3 linked regions of the Lepisosteus oculatus genome follow. The protein of the gene in region 2 purifies or fractionates together with the protein of the main gene of each other region. This does not show direct contact. Links are inferred from orthologs where the notes say so. Each region holds a gene or a part of one and is shown on either strand. Other genes may lie near its edges.

Region 1 (7,553 bases), on a different chromosome or scaffold from region 2:
AATATCCACGTGCAGTGTTATCAGTTCTATTCTTCAAGTAGATTTACGCTGTGTAACAGAATTCATGTAAATGTGAATGAACGATAATAATGGTTACTACAACAAAAACAGCAACTAGTAATAATTCAGGTGGGGAGCTGCGTCAGCGTGCGTAGGCTGCAAAGGAACAAGTAATAGGTTTATTCCAACGTTTCCGAAAACACAACGTTTCGGCCGTGGAGCCTTCTTCAGGTGTCTTCTTCAGGAGCCTTCTTCAGCCTTTATTACTACTTATTCTCTTTCACTCAGCTCGCAATCACGAGGAGTTACGAGGGCTTTTTATACCACAGCTGTGGCCATGATCAACCTCCGATGTTTCAATAATTATCACGATAAGATCAAAGCTGACCTGACATGAGGATTTTATTATACCTTAATGCAGAATACAAATACCATAGTGTTTTCAGCTGCTCAGAAAATAACACCCACATCACAACACAGCAGAGCCTCTGCCTTCTTCCTTGGACACAAAGAAGGAAATCATGACTGAACAAGTGGAACTTGGTTTAACTTAAATTTGAACAAGGTTTAAAAGTAGCTTTTGCTCGGTTACTCCTTCCGTTCAAGATGAGCCTCACTGCAAGATCCCTTTCTGGTCTGACTGTAATGGAGAAATGTGGGCAAGTAAGGGAAAACTCATGAGGAAGGAGCAGCAGTTGTCAAAAGAGCAGACTGTGTGGAGAGACGGGGTTGCGGGCCGACACGTGTACAGGTGTTACATTATCTTAGTGTAAATCAGGGGTGTCCAGCAGGGGGCAGATCTCTACAGCAGGAGCTGGGTGAAGCTTTTAAAAGGGTCTGAGACAAGCCCGGTAACAGGCCGGTTCAGCTCGTTAACTGTTGAGCTGGAAGCAAAAACCCACGGACTCAGGCACTGAGCAGTGCCTGCCGTGCATCAACACTGCCCTCTAGAGGAAGGCCTTTAAGAGTCTTATCACTGTTAGAACAACTTGGCTGCACCTATCCATTTTCTGACCACTCCTTTAGGGTCAAGAGGAAGCTAAAAATCTATCCCAGCAAGCAACAGGTGCAAGGTAGGACACACCCTGGATGGGACGCCCATCACAGGGCAGACAGACACTAACACAGACACCAGCGCCAATTTCCCCAGAAGCCAATTAACCCAGCAGCAGGTCTTCAGACAGTGGGAGGAAACCCAAGCAAATACTGGGAGAACATATAAAGTCCAGCTTCGATACAGGATGGTGAAATCTCCCATTTTTGTTGGGCATGATTCTGTATTCAAGGTCTTGTGACAGCCATCTGTTTTTTTTAATATTTAATATTTATTTTTAAATAACAATAATGAATAATTCCTTACACTTAAATAGAGTTTTTTTTTCTGGAGACTCCACTCAAAGCTCTTTACAGGAAATGGGAAATCCCACCACCACCACCAATGTGTAGCCCCACCTGGATGAGGTAAGACATTAATAAGAGGTCATGACTGGCAAAGGTCAGGGGGAAATTTGCCAGGACACCAGGGTCACACCCGTACTCTTTTCAAGAAATGCCCTAGGATTTTTAATGACCCCAAAGAATCAGGACCTCAGTTTGATATCTCATCCAAAGGACGGTGCCTTTGTACAATAAAGTGGTCCCATCACTGTACTGGGGCATTAGGACCCCTAAGTTGGTCCTAATGCCCTAATGCAAGGGCTGTTGGCATCTTTCTCAGAGTGGTGGGAGTGTGGAACTCGAGGTTTTAAAGGGGTAGATGGACCACAGGGCGTCCTCTCTCTTGAAGTCTTTCCTGTCTCCCAGTTTAATTTTCTGCAGGTGGGTGAGTTCCTGCTGTGGCTTTGTGCTAGGCGGGGAGGGGTAGTGGTGTCACAGTTTTGTGGTTAGCGGGCACAGGGTGGACGGTATCCTCTTGACTTCTCTTCCCTTCAGGGAGCCTGCACCTCAGCCTGGCCCTGGTGAGGGGTGGCAGGCTGTGTCCCTAGCTCATCTTTTGCAAAGGCCACGGTATTTTTACTTTCTGAGAAAAGGGGACTGACAGCTAAATGTTTTGAAAAAGGGCAAGGGCCATATCCCCCTGCAGCTCCCAGCTAGCAGCCCAGTGGAGCTCAGCGGGTGTGAGCCTGGCCTGTACCTGGATGGAAGTCTCCTGGGAAAGCTAAGGCTGCTGCTGGAAGAGGTGTTAGTGGACCAGTAGGGGGCGCTCACCCTGTGGCCTGTGTGGTTCCTAATGCCCCAGTACAGTGACGGGGACACTAGACTGTAAACAGGTACTGTCCTTCATGTGAGCTGTAAAACCAAGATCTTCACTCTCCATGGTCATTAAAAATCCCAGAGTGTTTCTACCTTGCCTTTATCAATCATGGCCTCCTAATAATCCCCCTATCTGAACTGGCTTCATCACTCTGCTCTCCTCCCCACTGAGAGCTGGTGTGTGGTGAGAGTACTGGAGCATCATCCAGGTGGGGCTGCACACTGGTGGTGGAGGGGATCCTTCTTACCTGTAAAGCGCTTTGAGTGGAGAGTCCAGAAAAGCACCAGATAAGTGTAAGCAATTATTATTATTCCTACATTCATTCACTCATTAGTCCACTTGATGGTGAGAGTTACACTACAGTCACCTATTCCACTGTAAATAAGAGCAGATTTCACTAAGATCGGATATAACAATCTCTGGCACGTTTCTGAGCATTAATAGTTAAAAATAATCCCTCCACCACCAGTGTGCAGCCCCACCTGGATGATGCTCCAGTACTCTCCCCACACACCGGCTCTCAGTGGGGAGGAGAGCAGAGTGATGAAGCCAGTTCAGAGAGGGGGGTTATTAGGAGGCCATGATTGGTAAAGGAGATTGAGAAATGCCCAGGGATTTTTAATGGCCACAGAGAGTCAGGACCTCGGTTTTAAATCTCATCCAAAGCAAGATGGCCTTTTTACAGTATAGTGTCCACTCTGTATATTGTATAGTGTATTCAATACTTATATTGTAGTGAGAAACAGGTGAAGGTTAGTTCCAAACTGAAAAGAAAAACATTTCGGCTGTGGAGCCTTCTTCAGGTGGGGCTTCATCAGGCCTTCCTCACACCAGAAGAAGGCTCCACAGCCGAAACGTTGTGTTTCTTCTCTTCTCAGCAGGGAATGTTCCTTTGCAGCCTGCACATGCTGTCGCAGCTACCCTGCTTGCAGTGGGAAATCCATATTCACGCCCCTAAGGACACTGTCCCCATATGACTTGTAATTCAACACTCTAGTGTTGCTAAGATAGCTGTCTGAGATTCCTCAGTGAGTGGGGCAGTGGGTAGCATCGCTGTTGCGCAGTGCTGGGGCCCTGGGTTTAATTCCGGACCCGGGGTGCTGTCTGTGTGGAGTTTGCATGTTCCCCCGTCATTTATGTTGGAGTTTTCTCCCACTGTCCAAAAACGCATAGTCTTCCCCGTGATGGACAGGCATGGTGTCTTGTGCCCATAGCCTGCTGGGATATGCTCTGGCTCCCCTGAGCCCCTGACTAGAATAATCGCTTTGAAAATGGAGGAAAACCTCACAGACACGGTATTCTAAACTTTCGGGGAGCCCAATATTCCGGTCCTTTATTTGTAGAAGCATCTTTCATTTTTTTCATCACTGCGATGTCGAGCCCCCTTACAACCAGATTTCTCTAGAACATAGCAATGGTTAATTATTGCATGGACCTACGTGTTCCCTTTTTTTAGTTATCTCCTCCTAGGTCAACAAGCTACCCAGTGAAGAAAAAAACCAAACATCTGCGCTATGAATACCAGCAAGTCCAGCTTCCTGGTGTGTTTTTGTGTGGTCGCTATTGTTATCGCTATCCCGAGTTCAGAGGGATCTTCTAAATATAAAAGCGCATCTGTCCTTATCTTTAAATTCAACCCTGAATTCCTATCTTTATGCCTTGCGTTTGAGTTATTGTTTATTGCACTTTTTCAGGCTTTTTCCACCCAATAATGTAATAATAATAATAATAATAATAATAATAATAATAATAATAATAATAATAATAATATATCCGTTCTTTTCGATATTTATCGGTGTTGGTTTTGTATTAAGTTTGTTTTATTGTACTAATCATTACTTTCATCGTATATCAGTCTAATTTAATGCTTTTTGCACCGTTATTTGTTTTTGTTTTTTACAGTTCGTGGTTTATTTTCGATAAACTGTAACTCGGACTAAAGCGTCCGTTAAGATCAAGGAAGACAGTGCAGCGCCCATTCAAGGCGCTCAAGCCTTAACTCCACCCCCTCCCACAACCCTCGCACCGCCCTCTCTCGAACAGCCCAATCACACACAGGCTTCATCCCGAACCACGCCCACGGAGGAGGTGTGCGTCGCCCAGTAAGGCCAAGGCGTTGGTACTACGCCCCTCCCTCTTGCTGGAAACTTCCTCCGTCGAGGTGCATTGTGGGAGCTTCCGACCGGCTTGAGCGTAGCGACAGAGCCGACAAGATGATGGTGAGTGAATGGATTTACCCTCCCTTTGCAACCCGCTTTCATCCATCTGTCACCCATCTCTAGAATATCGAACCGCACGGGTGGTTCGACGAAGCAGACCCCCTTCTCTTAAGAACCGGCAGTATCGGTCGTGGAAGAAGGATGATCGCGTTCAATTTGTTTGTTTGGATTTCTCGTGGTTACGGTCTCCGTCTCTTTCAGTGGGGGTGCTGCCTTGTCATTGTCGCTCGACTCAGAAGCGCCGCTGGCTGAAACAGAAAAGCTGCTTGTTTGTTGAAAACCGTGTTTGTCTTTTTTGTTCCGGGATCGGAGTCCCATGTGTTACCGCGGGTTTCCCGTCTTTAATCGTGTTGTGGGAGAGAGAAATGCACCGATTCGCCGCGCCAGTCCTCTGACAGTCTTCGGTAGGCCTGAGACATGACAGTTTGGGCCCTGTTGAACTACTGTCTCTAGTTACGGTAAAAAAAAAACAAAACCGAACCTTTATCAAAGGAGGTTTCTGTCTGTGTGTTTCAGTCCAGCCCTCCGTGTGCTGAACCGTGTGCACAGTAACCGATTACAGTACCGAGGGAGGGGCTGAAGTGCTCTCCTTTTGTGCAGTGTTGAATATTTTGCCTAAAAAAATCATTGAAGTCTCCTGGTTTGGTGCAGCTGCAGTTTTTTTTTAATTCTGCAAAATAAGTGATGGACAATGGCTGTTCCCCTCCTTGAGGGGGTCCCCCCCCCTAGTCCCAGGGAGCCCCAATCCAGCTATTCGTTTAGGTCACCCTAAATCGCCCGGTGAAAGCTATTGATGTTTTTGTCCCTAGTGATCTCCACCTGACTTAATTGAACACATTGCCTGTTGAGTTGATGGCAGTTAACTTCCAGTATTTATGGACTTCAGAGATGAGACTTCATAGAGACTGATTTAAAGGCAAGAGTGTGGCTCTACAGGACCAGCCCTGGACTGGCTGGATCAGGGCTAGAGAACCCCCCTGGGCTGTAACAGTAGTTCTAATGATCTTATTTCAGAGGCCTCTGGAGACACTACCTCCTCACAACAGGGAGCTGTGCCTTTCTGCCTGCCTCAAATAGAATAAAAAGAGCTCTCTCCTTTATTCTTTGTGTGCCATCAAGTCCCAGGTGTGGCCAGTAGGTCACCTCGTGCTTGGTGCAGAATATCACAAGAAGTGTTCACCTCCTTCTTGCTGAAATATCGCTGCTGGTGTCTGTTGCTAGGTTACAGCACAGGGCTGGTTCCAGTCCCATCACTGGAGAAAACCTTAGTAATGTCCTCGGGAGGAAGTCACAAGATGGATCCGGATTGGCAATCGATGCAGCTCCCATAGAAAAGAGATTGTTGCACCAAGGCTACAGTGATTGCAGAAATATTCAGTTGAATGCTTTGTATTCTTCCCCACAGGCTTGTCTTTTTCTCTCTTCCTAATCTGCATAATGCAAAGCAAGTCTTCGCTGCTCTGCAGCAGGGAATTACAAACATACACAGTCTTAATGTTGGTGTAGTCCTGTTACGCTTCAGCACTTTGGTGAGGTTCCATTGTCGTGCTCGGCGAGTTTGGCCGCAGTGGGGTTCTGGCAAGTCGCCGTGGTGACAGTCCCCCCTCTTGCTCCGCAGCCCACACCAGTGATCCTGCTGAAAGAGGGGACGGACACCTCCCAGGGCGTCCCCCAGCTCGTCAGCAACATCAACGCCTGCCAGGTCATCTCCGAGGCCGTGCGCACCACCCTGGGGCCACGCGGCATGGACAAGCTCATGGTGGACAGCAGAGGTGAGCCCCGCCGCCTGCTCTCGGGGCAATGGCCAGAGGGAGACCCCCCCCTAGCCCGTTTGACAGTGATCCGAGGGTCTCTTACCCTGGCTGCCTCCAAGAGGTGCTCGTGTTGATAACGTGGCTAGACAGCTTGTTCTGCACTCCTACCACCCTTTGTGTAAACAAGTGCCTCCCATCCCGCCTGGACAATCTCTTTTAGCTGTGTCTTGAAAGAAGCCAGGTTATTGGCTTGAACAACATGGCTAGACAGCTTGTTCCACACTCCTACCACCCTTTGTGTAAAGAAGCCCCCCCCCCCCCCCCCCTCCCCCCTCAGTTTTCAATGCTGTTCCCTGAAAATTTCACTGGTGTCCGCTGGGTTGCCATTGTCAGGGCCCTTAAGGGTTGTATCAGGTCCCCTAATTGTTCTGTTCTGTACTTGAAAGGCTCGGCTTCATCAGCCTGTCGTGTACAACTTCTTGAGCCCCTGAAAATAGCTGATCTTGTCATTTTCTGTTCTGTGGAGCGCCTTAATTCTAGCATTCTTATCACTCCCACTCCACGTCGTCCTTAGAAGTGATGAGGCACGAGCTTGTGTACCGTTATGCACCCAAGTGGCAATGGGCTCCTGTCCTGCTCATCTCACATGAATAGATCATATACTAAAGATAGTATTCTGCAATAAAATAGCAAAGTAACTTGTGGATTAACTAGACTGTTTTAATCAAATTAAAACCAAGATTCAGATATCGAAAGTTAAGTGCTGCACAGCCATAACTATTTTCTTGTACTTTTGAATCCATATCTGTTTAAAATTTTATCTGTTCTTATTTCTGATGGCTTTAGGTGACCAAGGTATTGCCTTATGCAGCGTAGACCACTGTCTGAAATAATAAACCTGTATTGAAACAGAAATGCATCCTGTCCAGATCAAGTCCACGCAGGGTGGAGATCTGAGCTGCACACTTCTCTGTTGGCGGCTTCAGGGTGACGACGCCAGTTTGCATGCGGAGAAACTGTTCAGTGTGTCTTGCCTGGCTGTGAGGAACGTGCACTGCAGCAGTCCTGGCCCAGAAATCGTATTTCTGAGTGTTCTTCCAGTAGGTCATGTGGGGCTAGCTGGTAGCAGCTGGCTAACGGTATCCCGTGATATTTTTCTTCCTCCTGTAGGGAAAGCTACCATCTCCAATGACGGCGCCACCATTCTGAAGCTCCTGGATGTGGTTCACCCAGCCGCCAAGACCCTGGTGGACATCGCCAAGTCCCAGGATGCCGAGGTGAGTGTCCGTCGAACGCCTCCCTGTTGACCCTACGAGGTCCGGGAGT
Region 2 (7,730 bases):
GCTTCAGTTAATATTTCAGACAGCATAGTAGATCCTACCTCATACTGCTTTTCTTGTTACAATTTGAGTTCACCGTCTCTTTTAGAGTGCAGTGGAGCTGTGCTTTATACACAGTTGTACATGACGTGCACAGTCTGCTCCTTTCGTGGCTGAACACACAGGGATGTAGAGCACAGTGTTACACTGTTCCCACTTTCCGGCTGTAGAGAAATGTCCACCCAAACTGGTCAGTGCATGAACAGATTGTGCTGACCGGTGCGTTAAGGATACTGTTGCTGCTCCAGCACACTCGGGACACAGGGTGAGTGATGCTGTGGGGGTTGAACTGCTCGACTACTGTCATAGAGCTCGAGTTCCAGATCTTCACATCGTCTCCGGATGACACCAGTCGAATGGCCTCATCCATGGATGCACCTGCCAAATCACAAGCAAAGTACTTGAGCACTGAGAGGGAAGACTGCAGAAGAGCACAGAAGATGGCACACCATCACAGTGCTGAGTTAGTTTACCGGATGCCTGAGTTAGGGAAATTGAAAAGGAAATGTTCACTGGCAAAGACTGAAGCATTGGGATAAAAGAGTCTGGACTTTCGGTTTTGCAAAGAATGTCAAATGACAATTGTTTTACATAGAAAAAAAGCTGCTGGATTTGCAATGTCAACATGCCCTGAAACATCTTTTCAAAAAATACTGCAATCATTATTTAAAGCACTGTGTTGCACAAGCTCAAATGACCATCTCCTTACAATGATGGTTATAAATAGAAGTGAATTACCCATGTTATAACTTGGCCATGTGGAACACAGCTTTCATTTCATTTACTTGGTTGTTTCTGGGAGTGTTTTGAGTATAGAAATGATAATATTAGAAAGGAACACCATTATTGCAGAGGGAATGGCTCTTGAGTGCTAACTGGTTCATTAAAAATGATTTTAAAACACATTTCAAGCAACACCTCACGCCAGCGATAATGTGCATACAGAAGGTTCTACCAGACCTACTGTAGTTGCAAATAAAACAGAACCACCATGTTCAGGTCGCAGGAACTGCAGTTGTTTTGTAATGTGATGCCATTGCACAGCTGATGCCCTTCAAAGTGGTGATGGGCTGTGTGTTAGGAACTGCAATGACTACAGCTGCCCACTCTTGTCCAGCTGGCTAACCAGGAAACAACAGGAAATATTGCCCAGTTCGGTGAGGGGCACACTACACATGTACAGAGGCACTACAGAAGGCAAAAGCACTCAGGAATACAAATAAAATTGTAACCACTGGGAATCCTGCTCATGACTGAAAACAAGCACGGACATTGAATACATAAATATGGAGTATTCCATGCTGAAAAAAAGAAGAAAGAGAACACAACGTTTCGGCCGTGGAGCCTTCTTCAGGTGTGACACCTGAAGAAGGCTCCACGGCCGAAACGTTGTGTTCTCTTTCTTCTTTTTTTCAGCATGGAATAAACCTATTACTTGTTCCTTTGCAGCCTACGCATGCTGACGCAGCTACCCACCTGAACTAAATATGGAGTATTAGCATACTTACAACACTAAAGAGGCATATTTATGCCCTTCAACCCTTGGTGAAACCTTGTTCTTGAAAGAACAGGAAAATACATACACAAATGCTATGACCTACTGGTAATTGTGGGATGCTGAAAAAGGCTACAAGAACAATGTTCTCCTAACCCCCTTATCATTACTGTTATTATCATAAAACAATTACCTAAGAATAATTTAGACCACACTTGGTCTTATTACTGTGATTCTGCTGAGGTGGGGTTGGCAACAGAACCACCATTTCATTAGGATCATGATTTTATGTCTGTTCCTCTGTCGGTGAGTGTTGCTCAAAGGTACCCAATCATGAAACTATCCTCACCACCAAATTATTTTGTACCGTGCTTTACATCCTCGTTAGTATGCAGTGAGTGAGCAAGCTTGTCAGTGACTGCTGTTTGCACAGGACTGGACGATGACAGAATTCAGGCTAACATGACATATTAAGAGCTATGCAGTGAGGTGTAAGGAACTCTTTTCATGCCGATGTTGTTAGTGACCAGGATTAGATAAGTGCCTTTGCCTCAATGCACAAGAATGAAGAGATCATTTCAAGCTCCTTACGTTTTTTGTCCTAAAACTACATCGCAAATAACCATTTTCAAAAGTAAGCTCTTAATAGTGCACATGTACAGTAGCAACATCATACAGCCTAAATAATTCAAGAAGTCTACAATATAATAGGAAAGTGCACGCTTTATTTCTGCAAACCGCCTCAAGGTGTTTGTCTAAATGTCATTTTCTCCAGCTCTGTAAGCGTATTAACTTCAAAATCCGCATGGCAAAACTTCGGATTTCTTTTAAAATAAGAAATACCACAAAGCATATTAAACGTGGCCAGAAACTCGTATTATTCATGTAAATTCATGTATTCATGTAAATGTGAAAATAAAGTTTTATGTGGGTTTCACCTATACGTTCACTCACAGATCAAATGAATACACAGTTGCGTGAATAAGTCGCAGCTAAATCCAGCATGGCTACCTGACAGCGAGACTGGGAAACATCTACAGATGCGTCACGTTTACAGATGAATTTGAAAATCGCAATACAGACAATTAGGCCAATATCGAGCCGTAGTCTTCGCAGCATGAAAGCGGGACCCGCTAAATCCGGATCATCAGCTGCTCATATTTAATTGAAACAAAACGGCAGGCTTATCAATATCAATACCAACTGTTGCTGGGACAACCTAACAATAAATAAGAAGTTTCTGGTCAGCTTTTATTATAGTTACGATTCGCCCCCCTTGCAACTCGTTGCCTTTCGCTAAGGTTTTCACGTCTGCTGTTTATGTACATACTTGACAAGGATTATCCTATAATTAGCGGCGGACTCGAACAACCCCAGAGCCAGGACCCTTACCTTGGCTACTTCACTCGACTAGCAGGTGGTATTTATTCCCTCCCCCAGTTTTCCTGCAGCACAGCAGGTCCAGTCCCTCTATGGTTTTGTGGCGCGGGGGGGGGGTTTGCGCTACTCCACGGTTGTCCCCGCCACCCTTCTCTCTCTTCGCCACTTCAGTCTTCACTCCGTTCAACGCCCCACTAAAGTTTCCGGCCCCCAGCAGGAATTTCCGCGCCTGCAGGCTCCGCGGCGCCCGCCGCTACGGCAACGCGGCGGGGCCAAGAGGCGAACTCGACCGTGCGGCTCCCGAGAGGACTGGCCGGGTGGGAGCTCAGCGCCTCTGGCTCTCGGCTTGCAAAGCACAGACTCGTCTACGTCAGCAGATGCGAGCCGGCGCTCGGATACCGTAACGCTGTGTTGCAGAAAGTACCGGAAAGTTTAAATGCAGTGGCCGTTCACACTACTAGCGATCCGCCCAACACCCACTTGTTTTTCCATTGAAATCCGTTTGTAGTAACTTCGTACTTCACTATAGTAAAGTCGTTTGAACTGCAGTTGTTTGTGTTAACAGGACTCGGGACCGATTGCCTTTTGAAAATGTATTATATACAGTATGTGACCCCACTTTTACTTGTTAATATGATGTATAAAGGACATGGCTATTCAAAAAAATAATACAAGTGACAGTTTTCTTGATTATTGACGGAAAGTATAAGTAAGTAACGAAAGTAACGAAATCTCTCTCCTGATGATAGTTTTAGAATACCCTAAATCGGCACTGGTCACGATTTTAAACCCATAATGGACTGGGTCTTGACAAAACCTTGGCTACATAACTCCTGCTTTATATTTTATACATAGGTATATATGAGGAAAAGTGTAATATCCTATATACCATAATCAAGTCTGCATTATAAAATTCTCCCTCTGGGTAAAGACTGAGTCCTCTGTGTTCATTTTCCTAGTATTTCATTTTTGAATTATTTTTTTTCTGGATTTTATATTTCTATTAGTACCTTGTTATTTTGTACTTAGTATGTGCGATTTTGAGATGCCTTTATGTAGTGATCTATAGTATATAGTTTGATACTGTTATAAAAAAAACAATGCTTCACAGCTTGAGTTATTGGGCAGTGTTTCAGTCTTTCAAATGGGAATGCCTGTCCTGGGGTCTATTAATATTGCAGACACTGCAGTTGTATTAATGCAGATTTGACTAATAAAGCCACAGCATCGCTTTCTGTACAATTACTAGCTGTAAAAGCCTTGGTGAAACAACATTGATCTGATGGGTGATGTGCTGGATTAAAAACTATTTTTTTTGAGTAATAATCAGATTGTGATATTGGGATAGGACAATGGAGGTTATGATAAGGTACTCATTAAAAACACTTGAGATGCTCTGTAGATACACATTCATTTTATTTCTGCCACACTGACGTGGACACCATGGGGAAACATTCAGACTGTTGATATCTTTGTAGGCCTCAGACCAGCAGGGACATGAGCCAGTCGAAGACGCTACCCGCTTGAAGCACAAAGCCTCTGGCGGGGTTAAAGCACTGCTCCAGATCACGCAGGGCCTGATTGCTCAGCTCAAAGGGAACCTTCAATGGAGACAAAAAGAGCAGAACAACAGGCAGTATTAGACTAAAAAGCAAGACAGGTGTTTCTGTATATGAAAATTCACTTAGGATAGTCTTTTTCATCAAGTCCAATTACACATCACACAGCTAATACACTACACCCAAGAGCACAATAACATTATATACCAACAACTGGCACTTCCTTTCCTTTATGACTAAATAATCCAGTGCAGAGCCCCAGATTGGTGATAGTAAAGGACATACTGTGCTGAAAAAGGACTAGGACTGAAGCCCAGCACGCAATACAAGCCAGGCAGAATTGTGCAGGTATATTTATAGTGAGGCCTCAGCTGGAAAATCTACAGCTGCAGTGAGACAGTGATGGTGACATTTCTACACAGCACGTACAATCAGAAAAGTCATTGTAGAAGGCAAAGTAGCAAGTAAACCAAGTAGTAAGAAAAAGTGTACATGAAAATAGCACAGAATGATAGACTTCTGAAAACTCCATGCTGGAATATAGGTGTAGTTAGGACGTTCTCACACTCAGTGCAAGATTGTTCCAAATTTAGTTAAATTTCGGTTTAGGGCAGATGTCATAGCTACACAGGGGTTGAAGAAGTTCAAGTAGGTAGCTTCGTCAGCATGAGTAGGCTGCAAAGGAACAGGTAAAGGTTTATTCCATGCTGAAAGAATGGACGTTACGTTTTTTTTTCTTTTCCTTTCAGCATGGCTACACATTGTTTTGTACAGTATGTCCCTGAGAATGACACATTTTGGCAAGGGAGCTAAGTGGAAGGAGACTCTCTTGATATTTAATGTAGCACACCTCTTTACCAAGTGGAAGTCCTCTGAGCCTCTTGCTTTCTTCAGAATGAGGCCTTCTTAAAATATTTTTCTAAGGCTTAAAAGATTTTTTCGGAGATTAAAATAACCTGAAATATACTCTCATTTTTTCCATGGGTGGTTAGTAAGTTCTTTATAAAGGTTTGTTGTTTTACTTTTATTTCTCATGTAAAAAAAACAAAGCAGATGTCTCATCTTGAGTTGTAAACTTTAGGCAGGGATATGAAGTAGTGGTTAAAACTTCACACTTCAGTCTCCATGAGTTCAAATCCATGTTGGGATTGTTGTACCGTTGAGCAAGGTGATTTCGTCAATAAATACCTTGCTGTATGAATTGATACACTCAAGGCAGTCACTACAAATGAGAGATTTTAAAGGACTTATGTAGTTAAATGAAGGATTCATTTCAAATGAAATTACAATTTCAATTACAATTCTGCAGTTGAAAGTAAGAATTCTGCATTCTGCAGAGTAAGGATGGAAATTTTTACTTTTCAGTTTACTTTAGAGCAGAATACCTAATTCCCAAGGCAACGCAGGGAAATCTACTACGATCATGCTGAACTTGCAGTAATACTAAAACAAAATGAGCACTTAGATTTAACTGAGGCAATCAGGGACAATAATAGTGCTCCACTGTCCAGTCCTGAGCAGACTCTTTTTTTTTTCTTCGCTAATCAGAACAGACTTGGTCAAGATCAAGAAATTCTTAGCCTTTCAGCCTTTCATCATGCAACTTATTTTTTAAGTGCACTTCCAACATATTTTACTTCTCTGAAGGTGAAGCAGCGTACTGAAAAAGGCCATTATCTCACTCTGTTTCTGTTTATTTCATGGAAGTCCCATTTTCCAGCTATGAGGTGATGACCATGGTGAAGCCCAGAGCAGGAGACCTACCTCAGTGAGCTCCACTGTTTCTGGGAGATCCAGCAGCAAAGACTTGACTTGTGCGCAGCACTGCTTGGCCTGCCCCTGCAGACCCAAAGAGAGGAGCATTAATATTCCTCATGCTAAACTGCTGCTTGTGTCATATACTGTGTACAAATATACATAGAAATCAAAACACTTGAGAAACCCAATCCCAGATTCAAGGTAAGCTTTCAAGGTAAGAAAATTCAAATACCATATGGCTTGGGTCACATGGTGCATCCAAGAAAGACAATCCCTTATACTGGAAGTGTTCATCTGATAATAAACATGGAATCTGTATCCCGAATGGCTGTGCGATTCCATGCTACATTCTCATTTCAGCAGCCTTCTTAAATGTTCTCTCTGTGAGTGAATTTTGAATTTCTTTGTCTTTGTAATACTCGTCCTGTGTCTGCTCTTCAGCCTCTCAGGCAGTGGACAGTACCTGTATCGGAGGGTCCAGGGCTTGCCCCGTCCCCGGGGTCCTTGCCTGACGACGCTTCTCCACTTGAGGGCTGGGGGAACTGGCCACAGGAGGTGCCGATTGCTCAGCATCCACACACAGGGAGCATAACTGGGCATGAACAGCCTGCAGCCTGAAAAAAGCGAGAGGAGGAGTCCGAGATGAAGAGACAGGACAGCAGAAGATGGAAATTGCTGGAACGATACTGGCAGGGGTTGGAGAGAGGGTTCAACAGAGCGAAGAGAAGGGCAGTGAAAGTGGTCCTCAGAAACTCGGAAGAAGGGATACAGGGGTGACCACAGACAGAGAGGGCAGGCTATCACCTATGTAAGGGGATCCAGCGATGTCCACAGTGTAGGCCGGACAGGCCACCACCTGAGGGCCTGACTGCAGAGAGGGGCCTGGTGTTGCAGGCAAAGACCAGTAAGATCTAGAGACCAGGGGCACAGCAGCACACAAATCAAACCAAACTCAGAACAATGATACAAAGATCATTAAATTCATTATTATATCCCTGAGAATCATGATCACTGATTAAAATGATGTCACCAAACAGTTACAATTCCATTTGTATGTATGCTCTACAGTATGTGTTACTGTTGTCTCGTCTGTTACTGTCATTATTCAGTACTCAAGTAAGGTGGCATAGCATTACGTTGGGAAAAGACTGAGTAACTTTTTTGTGTGAATAGTGACAGACAGTTACCACAGGCTGTGTGTGTCCAGTGTGCAGTGCTGGGCAATACCACTGCACACACAGTTCTCGGTCTGTGGAGGCTGAGGCAAAGGAGTCCAGTCCCCCCAGCCCGATTTCAGACTCTTGGCCAGCAGAGCTGTCTAGCCGGGGCTGAGGAGAAAAGCACATGTCTGTGAATTGGCAAGCCGTGGAACAGCTCAATTGTCTTAATTGATACTTTTTTAAAATGAACATTTTAAATGGTAATGGGCCCTTTTTACAAATAATTTACAAAATTTACAAATGGGCCCTGTTTTTTGTCATTACACAGAAAAGCGTACAGAC
Region 3 (7,542 bases), on a different chromosome or scaffold from region 2:
AAACAACGAAGGTGAATCTGCCCTTGTACGTACTAATCAAGAGAAGCGCTGGGAAAATGATCTGTGTCATAACGAGCAGCACAGGTGAAAGGAAAGCTCTCTGTAAGAGATGGTACAGCAAAGCAAGTTTCTGACTGTCTAGCAAAGGCAATGGGTGCTGCAGCTATGTGAGAGTATAGGACAAGCAGTCTGAGCTCCATCGGTCTGCTTGCACAGAAACACAGCAGATGCGGCTCAGGCAGCAGCACCTGTAAATGAACACAGTGCTAAAGGCCAATGCAATGGCAGAATCACCAGACTGCACTGCCGTTCAAGTCACATACCCACCTAGCATGTCAAAGGCAGGAGGTGGCCTGCATTACTACGGAGACCCCCCAATCCCACTAAGAACCTAGAGCCGGAATCTTAAATATCACCCAAAATAATGTTGTGCAATTCAAGCCCTTCCAGCTTAAGCCCAGGCTGAAGAAATATAAGTCTTGGTGGCATCAAGATGCTGTGGGATAACGTTATATATTTAAAGATTTGTCTTCTGATATTTTTCCATAGGATTAGAAGCCAGGCTTGTAGCAATGAAAAGCAAGTGATCACCATAGCAAAGCTGAATGATAATTGCTTACTTACTATGGTGTTCAGCACTAATTCACTTGGGTATTGTGAATGTTTTTCTACGTTTTTATCAGGTCACTTTGCCCTATTACGCTAGACCCTAACTGAACGCTACACACACTTACGAACATTTGCTACAGTACATTATGGCACGTTCTTTACATAGTATAATAAAACACACCTACAGCATGGCAGGGCTACAGGAAAGGTTTGTGTGCAACCAGATGAACACCATAATAAAAGCGCAACACTGCCAATAATAGGTACTAATGTAAACTTTCACAGAGGAAGGCATGGAGCCCCTAAGCCTGACCATGACCTGTTTGGCCCCCACTGTCTAACCTCTGGGCTCAGGGGCCGCAATGTGCTGGGACCCAGACAAACTCTCCCCAGCCGAGGTGTCAGCGATCCTCTGTCCAGCACACATGGCCTTCAGCATCTGGAAGACGGCCAGAGGAGCAACATTCATCTTCAGCAGGTCCACAATGATCCTGAGGACAGACCGCATGAAAGTTTACAGAGACATTAACACTGTCGCAGATTGCTTTAGGTCATACTCCAGGTTTCTTCTGTTTTAAAAAATTGTTAAAATTGTTCCTTTCTGTATCCCCAAAATTTGGGGATCAGCAATTGTTCTTCCACAAAAGTCACCATGCATTATGAATCAGCACAAAAGAAACTGAATGAATATATACACATTCTTGGGCATGCTGTTCACTTCTGTTCACACTATAAGGTTATGAAACACGCAGATCAGCCATCCGATGGGAGCTGTATTTCAGATAGACTTTAACCCTGGAACTGTTTGCAAATGTGTACAACACCCCTCTGGAATAAACCACATGCTTTCCAACAGCGTGGAGGCCTTTATATGGCTCTCAGAACCCACATTAAGAAAGGATCAAAAATCTTTATCTTTGCAAATCCATTTTATGTAGAACTCCATTATACCCTCCCCTCCACTGCAGTTCTAATTCAGCTTTGCATGTGAGTGAGTTTCAGTAGGGCAGCTCAGTGGTGCAGTGATTAGCATCGCTGGATCGGACAGCAATCCAGACCCAGGGTGCTTTATGTGTGCTCTGTATGTTCTCCCTGTGTTTGGGATTCCTCCAGGTGCTCCAGTTTCCTCCCATAGTCCAAAAACATTCACTGCCTTCTGGGGAAACTGGCCCTGGTGTGTCTGTGTGTGTCTGTGTGTGTCTGTGTGTGTCTGTGTGTGTCTGTGTGTGTCCTGCTGGGACAGACGCTGGCTCCCCCATGACCCTGAACTGGAAAAAGCGGTTGGAAGATGGCTGGATGAATTCCAGAGTCAGAGACAGTTTCGTCCCACAAGCTATCAGATTACTGAACTCTACCCCTACCGCTGGCTCACCCTGATGCGCTCTGTATCGGAGTGCACATGCAAATAAGCATTTCAGTGCACTTGTGCACATGACAAATAGACTGAGCTGAAGCTCATCATGTTGGAAAGGCCAGCAGGGGAAGCAAGCAGTACAGAACCAGTGTGTGTGCTCTGCTGGGCCTTACTTGAACACCTCCTGGTCCACCGTGATCCCGGCCGCCTGCGCCAGCTCGAACAGGTCCGTCTCCTCCGCACTGAGGACCTTCTTTTTCTTCAGGGCGTACTTCTGGACGTTCCCACTCACCGTGGCCACCAGGGCGGGCGGCTCCAGGCTGGGCGCCAGCGCGGCGGCCTGCTGAGAGAGCGCCATTCCCTGGCAGGGCAGAGAGACCCCGTCGCTGCCGGTTTCTGTGCTGCACGTTGTCGATTGAGACTAACGAGTATGAGCAGAAACATCGACACCTGCACAAAGCATTAGCTAAAACCTGACCATATTTACACCCCCTGCCTAGAGGAATCAAAACGTCTCGCAGGACGCCTAAAGGCCACTGAAAATACCGTACTTTGTTAGCTTTCAATACAAAAAAGAATAGGTATTTTTGTTTCGTTTAATTAAAAATCATATCTTATAGACAAGACTTGTGTCTTGTATCTTTGCTTATCATGCCTCTCTAACCCCATATTCGCAGTGCTTTGCTATTGCAAAAGCCCTAATGAATAATGTTTAATCATGTTTTCTAATTTGCTCTACGGACGTTCGTATTAGTTCACAAACATGAACGGCAGATCGCGGAGATCAGCACAAAATCCCGTTTATTACTGGTGGTCAAAGCGGATCCCACACCAGTCAGGGACGTTTTCTGCATCACCTGTTTTTAGAATCAGTCAAATATTCGTCCCTGCCCGCTCGCCAATTCCGAATCAATGAGAGTGATTCTGAATAACTCCGTGTGAATTGAAAACAGGGCTCGAGTACAACTGCTTCATCAATGCAAATCCAAGAAACTCGCTCGGTCTACAAAAAGGAAAACAAACTCTCTAAGGCTAACACACTGCATCACCTTTACTAACTCAGCCAACGTGCTGAGATATAGCACCGCTGGCATTTTAATAGAGTATATGTTTCTTACCTTAAAGATAACACAGCTGTCAATTCCGTAACGACGCAGGTCCCACCCAGAAAGTTTCTCGGGTGGAAACTATCTGTGCTCCTCTACACTCCGAGCCGAGTGGAAACACGATCGCGCACCGCAGTTCCTCATGCAGAGAGTGTGCCATGTGAACCGCTGCTGGACGGTCCTGTTTCAAAATTACTTTAAATAATCAATGCACATATTTTTAAATAATATAAGATGATAACCTTTTTAACGAAAGGCATGTTGAATGACAACGTCAAGAATGTTTGAAGTTGAATGTCATTGTGTGATTATTTTCCAGTTCGCTTTCCGCTTTTCCCAAAAATAAACGAATAAAATAATGTATTTTTCTGTATGAATTATGCTAAATCTGCTTCTAGTAATTTGTTGTTGTTTCGTCGAACTAAAATAACTCCGATGTTACCACTCATGGTTGGTAATGTTGTCCATTTTTTACTCCACTGTTTATCGTCACACAGACTGACATAAAAATTACAGCGATCGTTTATCTATCACAATTTGGACTAATTTCTGATGAACAGCAGATAATGACTCGCTAGATCTGTAGAAAGGTTGTCGGGTCAAATCCCAAAATACTCCTGTTGTACCCTAGAGTAAACTATATACCTAGCTCTACAAATGTATAGTGATGAATGTCGCTTTTTAATAATAACAATAAAATAATAATAATAATAATAATAATAATAATAATAATAATAATAATAATAATTGCTTACACTTATATAGCGCTTTTTTGGACACTCCACTCAAAGCGCTTTACAGGTAATGGGGATCCCCTCCACCACCACCAGTGTGCAGCCCCGCCTGGATGATTTTTTGGATACAAGATTCAGACTAATTAATGATAAAGGACAGAACGAGAATTATTTGAACATGGATAATTCCGAGGCATATCCTACCATAATAAATCAGTCGCATTTGCACAGATTTCAAGATCAATTTTGGTTGTGGTCTACAACGTCAAATACCCGCACACATACCTTTATACCTTGAAGTAAAAATGTATAACTATAATTCATCCAGGTGGGGCTGCACATTGGTGGGGGTGGAGGGGATCCCCATTACCTGTAAAGCGCTTTGAGTGGAGTGTCCAGAAAAGCGCTATATAAGTGTGAGTAATTATTATTATAACATCTGGACATCTGATTTTAGACGATAAACCGAATCTGGACGTCCAATCCGTCCAGTAGAGGGCGTCAAACTCCACTAAACGAATTTTAGTTCAGCTGCCAACAAAAAAAAAGGATCACCAGGTGTTGCTTTGTTTTAAAGCCAGCTATCATAAACTTCGCCCCGAATATAACTTCCATTTCTCATAAAAACAGGATATAATCATTCCTTTTGTCTAACTGTAATTATATTTCAAGAGCAGCAGGCACGACGTTGAAATTAAATGGAGAAATTTAGTGTAACGCGTTTATCACTATCATGGTGATGTCCACTTGCATTTATCACTGAGCCGTGCCTCTGGAAAGGTATTGTTCCGTCTCTAGTTAAGAAACGCAATCAGCTAAATAATTAAATCAAATGCTCTCTGACTTTTATCACAGATCACAGTAGTGTTCAATATGTCAAGTATGACTTGACAAAACAACCTATTGCCAGAACAATTATAGAAACATCTAAAAGCTTTCATTGAGGCTGACATTTCTCATGTCTCAGTGCTTTGTGTCTACCGTGCAGTCAGGGGAAGAATCGAGATGTACACATATGAGAGTAGGGTATTTCAACACAGAGCTTTTTTTTACCTTTGGGTATATATTGGCAAGTAAAAAATCGTTCCCTGAATAAGAGTAATGCCCTCAGCCTGAACGTCCCCATCAATACTAGCTGTCAATGGCTAAATTCAATTTCTGACTCATATATTTGCCAAATAGCGCATTTTAATTGTTGAAATCTAACTGGGAGATTTCAAAGTATTTAAAAAAAATAATTTAAAAAGAAGTCAAAAGAACGAGGAGCCGCATAACGTATCACATTTTGTGACCTACGGTGTAAATTGACAGCACAACAATTTAAAAATATACATTTAATATTTTTATACAAATTTAGGTTTCTGTATTTTTTTCAGTGGTTTAATATGGTCATTATATGGAATACTATTTTATCCCCCCAAAGGTGAATTATGATCATTTTCTTATCTAAGCATATTTCTACAACACTCAGATCACAGGAGATTAATTTTTATTAATCTTTATCCTGTCTTTACAAATGGCCACCACTAATTCAAAATTACTTTTAATCAGACTAGCAAATAAGAACTTGCAATTCCAGTAATGGCAGGAGTGGTTTCATAAGTTGCAGTACAATTTATGTAACATTTGATTTAATAAATTGAGTAAAAACGCTAGGCTTGAGAACTTGGCATGAAATGTCCTGGAAGTCATGATTTCAAAAAGTCTTCTATCATGAACAGCTAAAGAGATATTTCAAAACCACACCAGGGCCCTGCCAGAAATCAAGTGTTCTTCCAACAACCTGCAAGTAGCTACTACGCTGAAACATTGGCATCTTCATCTCGGTGCTTTATTGTTATTTACAAACGATGACAAAAACTTCTTAAGGCTTATTTATGAATGTCTGTTACATTTCCGAAGGTAAACACCCACCCTCATCAGTCTTTCACTGCAGTGGCTGTTACAATTCTTATCGCCAACAACAGAAGGGCTTTGTTCAGTGCTCCTGTGACAGAACCCACGCCCAGCACGTCTGCCTCCGGCGGCCTGGGCGAGCTTTTGTGCGAAACGAGAAAGCAGAGAGCTGGCAACAGCCAGGCACTAAAATCCAGCTCCTACTTTGTTCCAACGGGAGCCGTGTTGAGATACTTCAACGTTATTTTCATTGCTGACTAGTACTATAAAGGCAGAAAAAACAATCCTGCTGAGTGAGCAATGAAATAACATGAGGAAGTAAATTAGCAGCGCACATGTGTGATATATTACACAACGTTCTTATGTATCCAACATCACAGGCCTCTCAGTCACTACCAGTCTCTACCATTGCTGACCTGCAACACCCAAGGGCAAAAATCATCTTCAGATTAAGGCTAAGACGTACACAGTTTCCTTTTTAATAATAAGACTATGGAAGTAATTCAGAAGGCAGTGTCCTCACAGGAAAGCTTGATAAGGCTGCAACTCCACCCATCAATTTTACACATTTGAAAACATTTTACAGAAACGTTCATACTCTGTTGGAAACAGTACTGTAGGTATTATGATCAATAGGAATACAGTACATTTTAAAAAGAACTACACTGTCCTACTGAACATGGGTAAGATGACAAGAATATCTGGTTAAAGGATGCAGAATGAATTGATCATTTTATCCTTTGGCTTAACTCGACACCAGATGGACACTCCCGTGACAGGGACAAACCCCAGGCTGGGTGCAATCAAAGCAGCTTGCTGGCACAGCAGACCGAGGCCTTCTTCCTCAGCAGTCTTTGAACAGCTAGACTCCCATTTCACGTTAAATGCAGAATCTGCTCATTTTATCCCATCCTAGACGGCAGTGGGTATCAGCCCACAGCATGTTACAAAGCACGTTACTCTCGGTGAATAGCCTGAATGTAATCACAGTGAGCTTGTGGCACTGAAAAGCTGACAGCAAGGAACATTCCTTGAGTCTCTCTTCTGCCATACATATTCAAATCAGCTTTTTATCATTTTCTGCAAAGAGTTTTTGAACTGCTACACATTTAAAATAGTGCATCTTCTTCTAAAACACTAACCTGGATCAGTGGCAGTTTATCCTTCTTTACTGATTCTATTTATTAATGGGTCAGTGATGAGGAAGAGTTTAGCACAAGGTATGAAAGATCATCTCCACAATGCCTTCTATTTAAAAATGTTAAAAATAAAATACAGTACAGTAAAATAAATAACCACAGTTCTGCTTCAGATATGATCTTTAATCCTCTGTGAACTGTGACAGTCCAGGTCGAAGCCCAGTTGTGTGAATGTTGTAAGAAACGCTGCTCCCATCTCCTGTCTTGCAGTAAAGCAGCTGCTGCTTTCAAGACGTGGGCATCTGGGAACAGCCAGAGGTGGGAATTCACAGGTGCAGGTCAGGTCCTGCATCAACAGTTCAGTCTCCCCTGCCTGAGGCGCCAGGGTGCCCCGCCAGGGGGCACCGGGCCTGCAGCGGCAGGTCTGTGGGAACTGGAGGAATGGGGCGGGCCTGTCCACCTCAGGTGGTCCGCTGCCGTTTGGTTTCACCCGAATCCTCCGGCTGCTCCTCGGGGGACCGCTTCCCCGGTGAGAGCGCCCCCTGTTGGTCCTGTAACACATCCACAGGGTAGAGGGAGGCCACGGTGGGGGGGGGGCTGTCCATCTTGGCCAGGTGCGTCTCCGGCTCCAGCTGGACCTCCACGATCTCCAGCCCGGCCAGCGCCCCCTCCTCGCCCTCCTGCCCGCCGCCCTGCGGCGAGCC

What was found. The genes of interacting proteins can lie anywhere in the genome.
Region 1: the proteins of nedd1 (region 2) and cct7 purify together in Homo sapiens (affinity purification with mass spectrometry; 3 studies listed by BioGRID and IntAct, counting the BioPlex papers as one, with this or other methods). This does not show direct contact. The link is inferred for Lepisosteus oculatus from reciprocal best matches to the Homo sapiens genes NEDD1 and CCT7.
Region 3: the proteins of nedd1 (region 2) and mzt2b purify together in Homo sapiens (affinity purification with mass spectrometry; 3 studies listed by BioGRID and IntAct, with this or other methods). This does not show direct contact. The link is inferred for Lepisosteus oculatus from reciprocal best matches to the Homo sapiens genes NEDD1 and MZT2B.

What each region holds. Positions count from the first base shown.
Region 1 is NC_090699.1:10,567,972-10,575,524, forward strand, and holds the start of cct7 (T-complex protein 1 subunit eta), read left to right. Parts: upstream 1-4,367; 5' UTR 4,368-4,467; coding exon 4,468-4,473; intron 4,474-6,091; coding exon 6,092-6,245; intron 6,246-7,397; coding exon 7,398-7,504; intron 7,505-7,553. UniProt on the Homo sapiens protein: Component of the chaperonin-containing T-complex (TRiC), a molecular chaperone complex that assists the folding of actin, tubulin and other proteins upon ATP hydrolysis.
Region 2 is NC_090702.1:51,105,364-51,113,093, reverse strand, and holds the start of nedd1 (protein NEDD1), read right to left. Parts: upstream 3,253-7,730; 5' UTR 2,924-3,252; intron 415-2,923; 5' UTR 407-414; coding exon 271-406; intron 1-270. Other genes in the region: cfap54 (cilia- and flagella-associated protein 54), read right to left, coding at 4,393-4,512, 6,235-6,309, 6,692-6,842, 7,033-7,139, 7,416-7,556. UniProt on the Homo sapiens protein: Required for mitosis progression. Promotes the nucleation of microtubules from the spindle.
Region 3 is NC_090717.1:14,236,796-14,244,337, forward strand, and holds the start of mzt2b (mitotic-spindle organizing protein 2), read right to left. Parts: upstream 3,187-7,542; 5' UTR 3,082-3,186; intron 2,365-3,081; exon of another isoform or gene 2,325-2,364; 5' UTR 2,322-2,324; coding exon 2,137-2,321; intron 1,101-2,136; coding exon 952-1,100; intron 1-951. Other genes in the region: uncharacterized protein, read right to left, coding at 7,300-7,542. UniProt on the Homo sapiens protein: Required for the recruitment and the assembly of the gamma-tubulin ring complex (gTuRC) at the centrosome.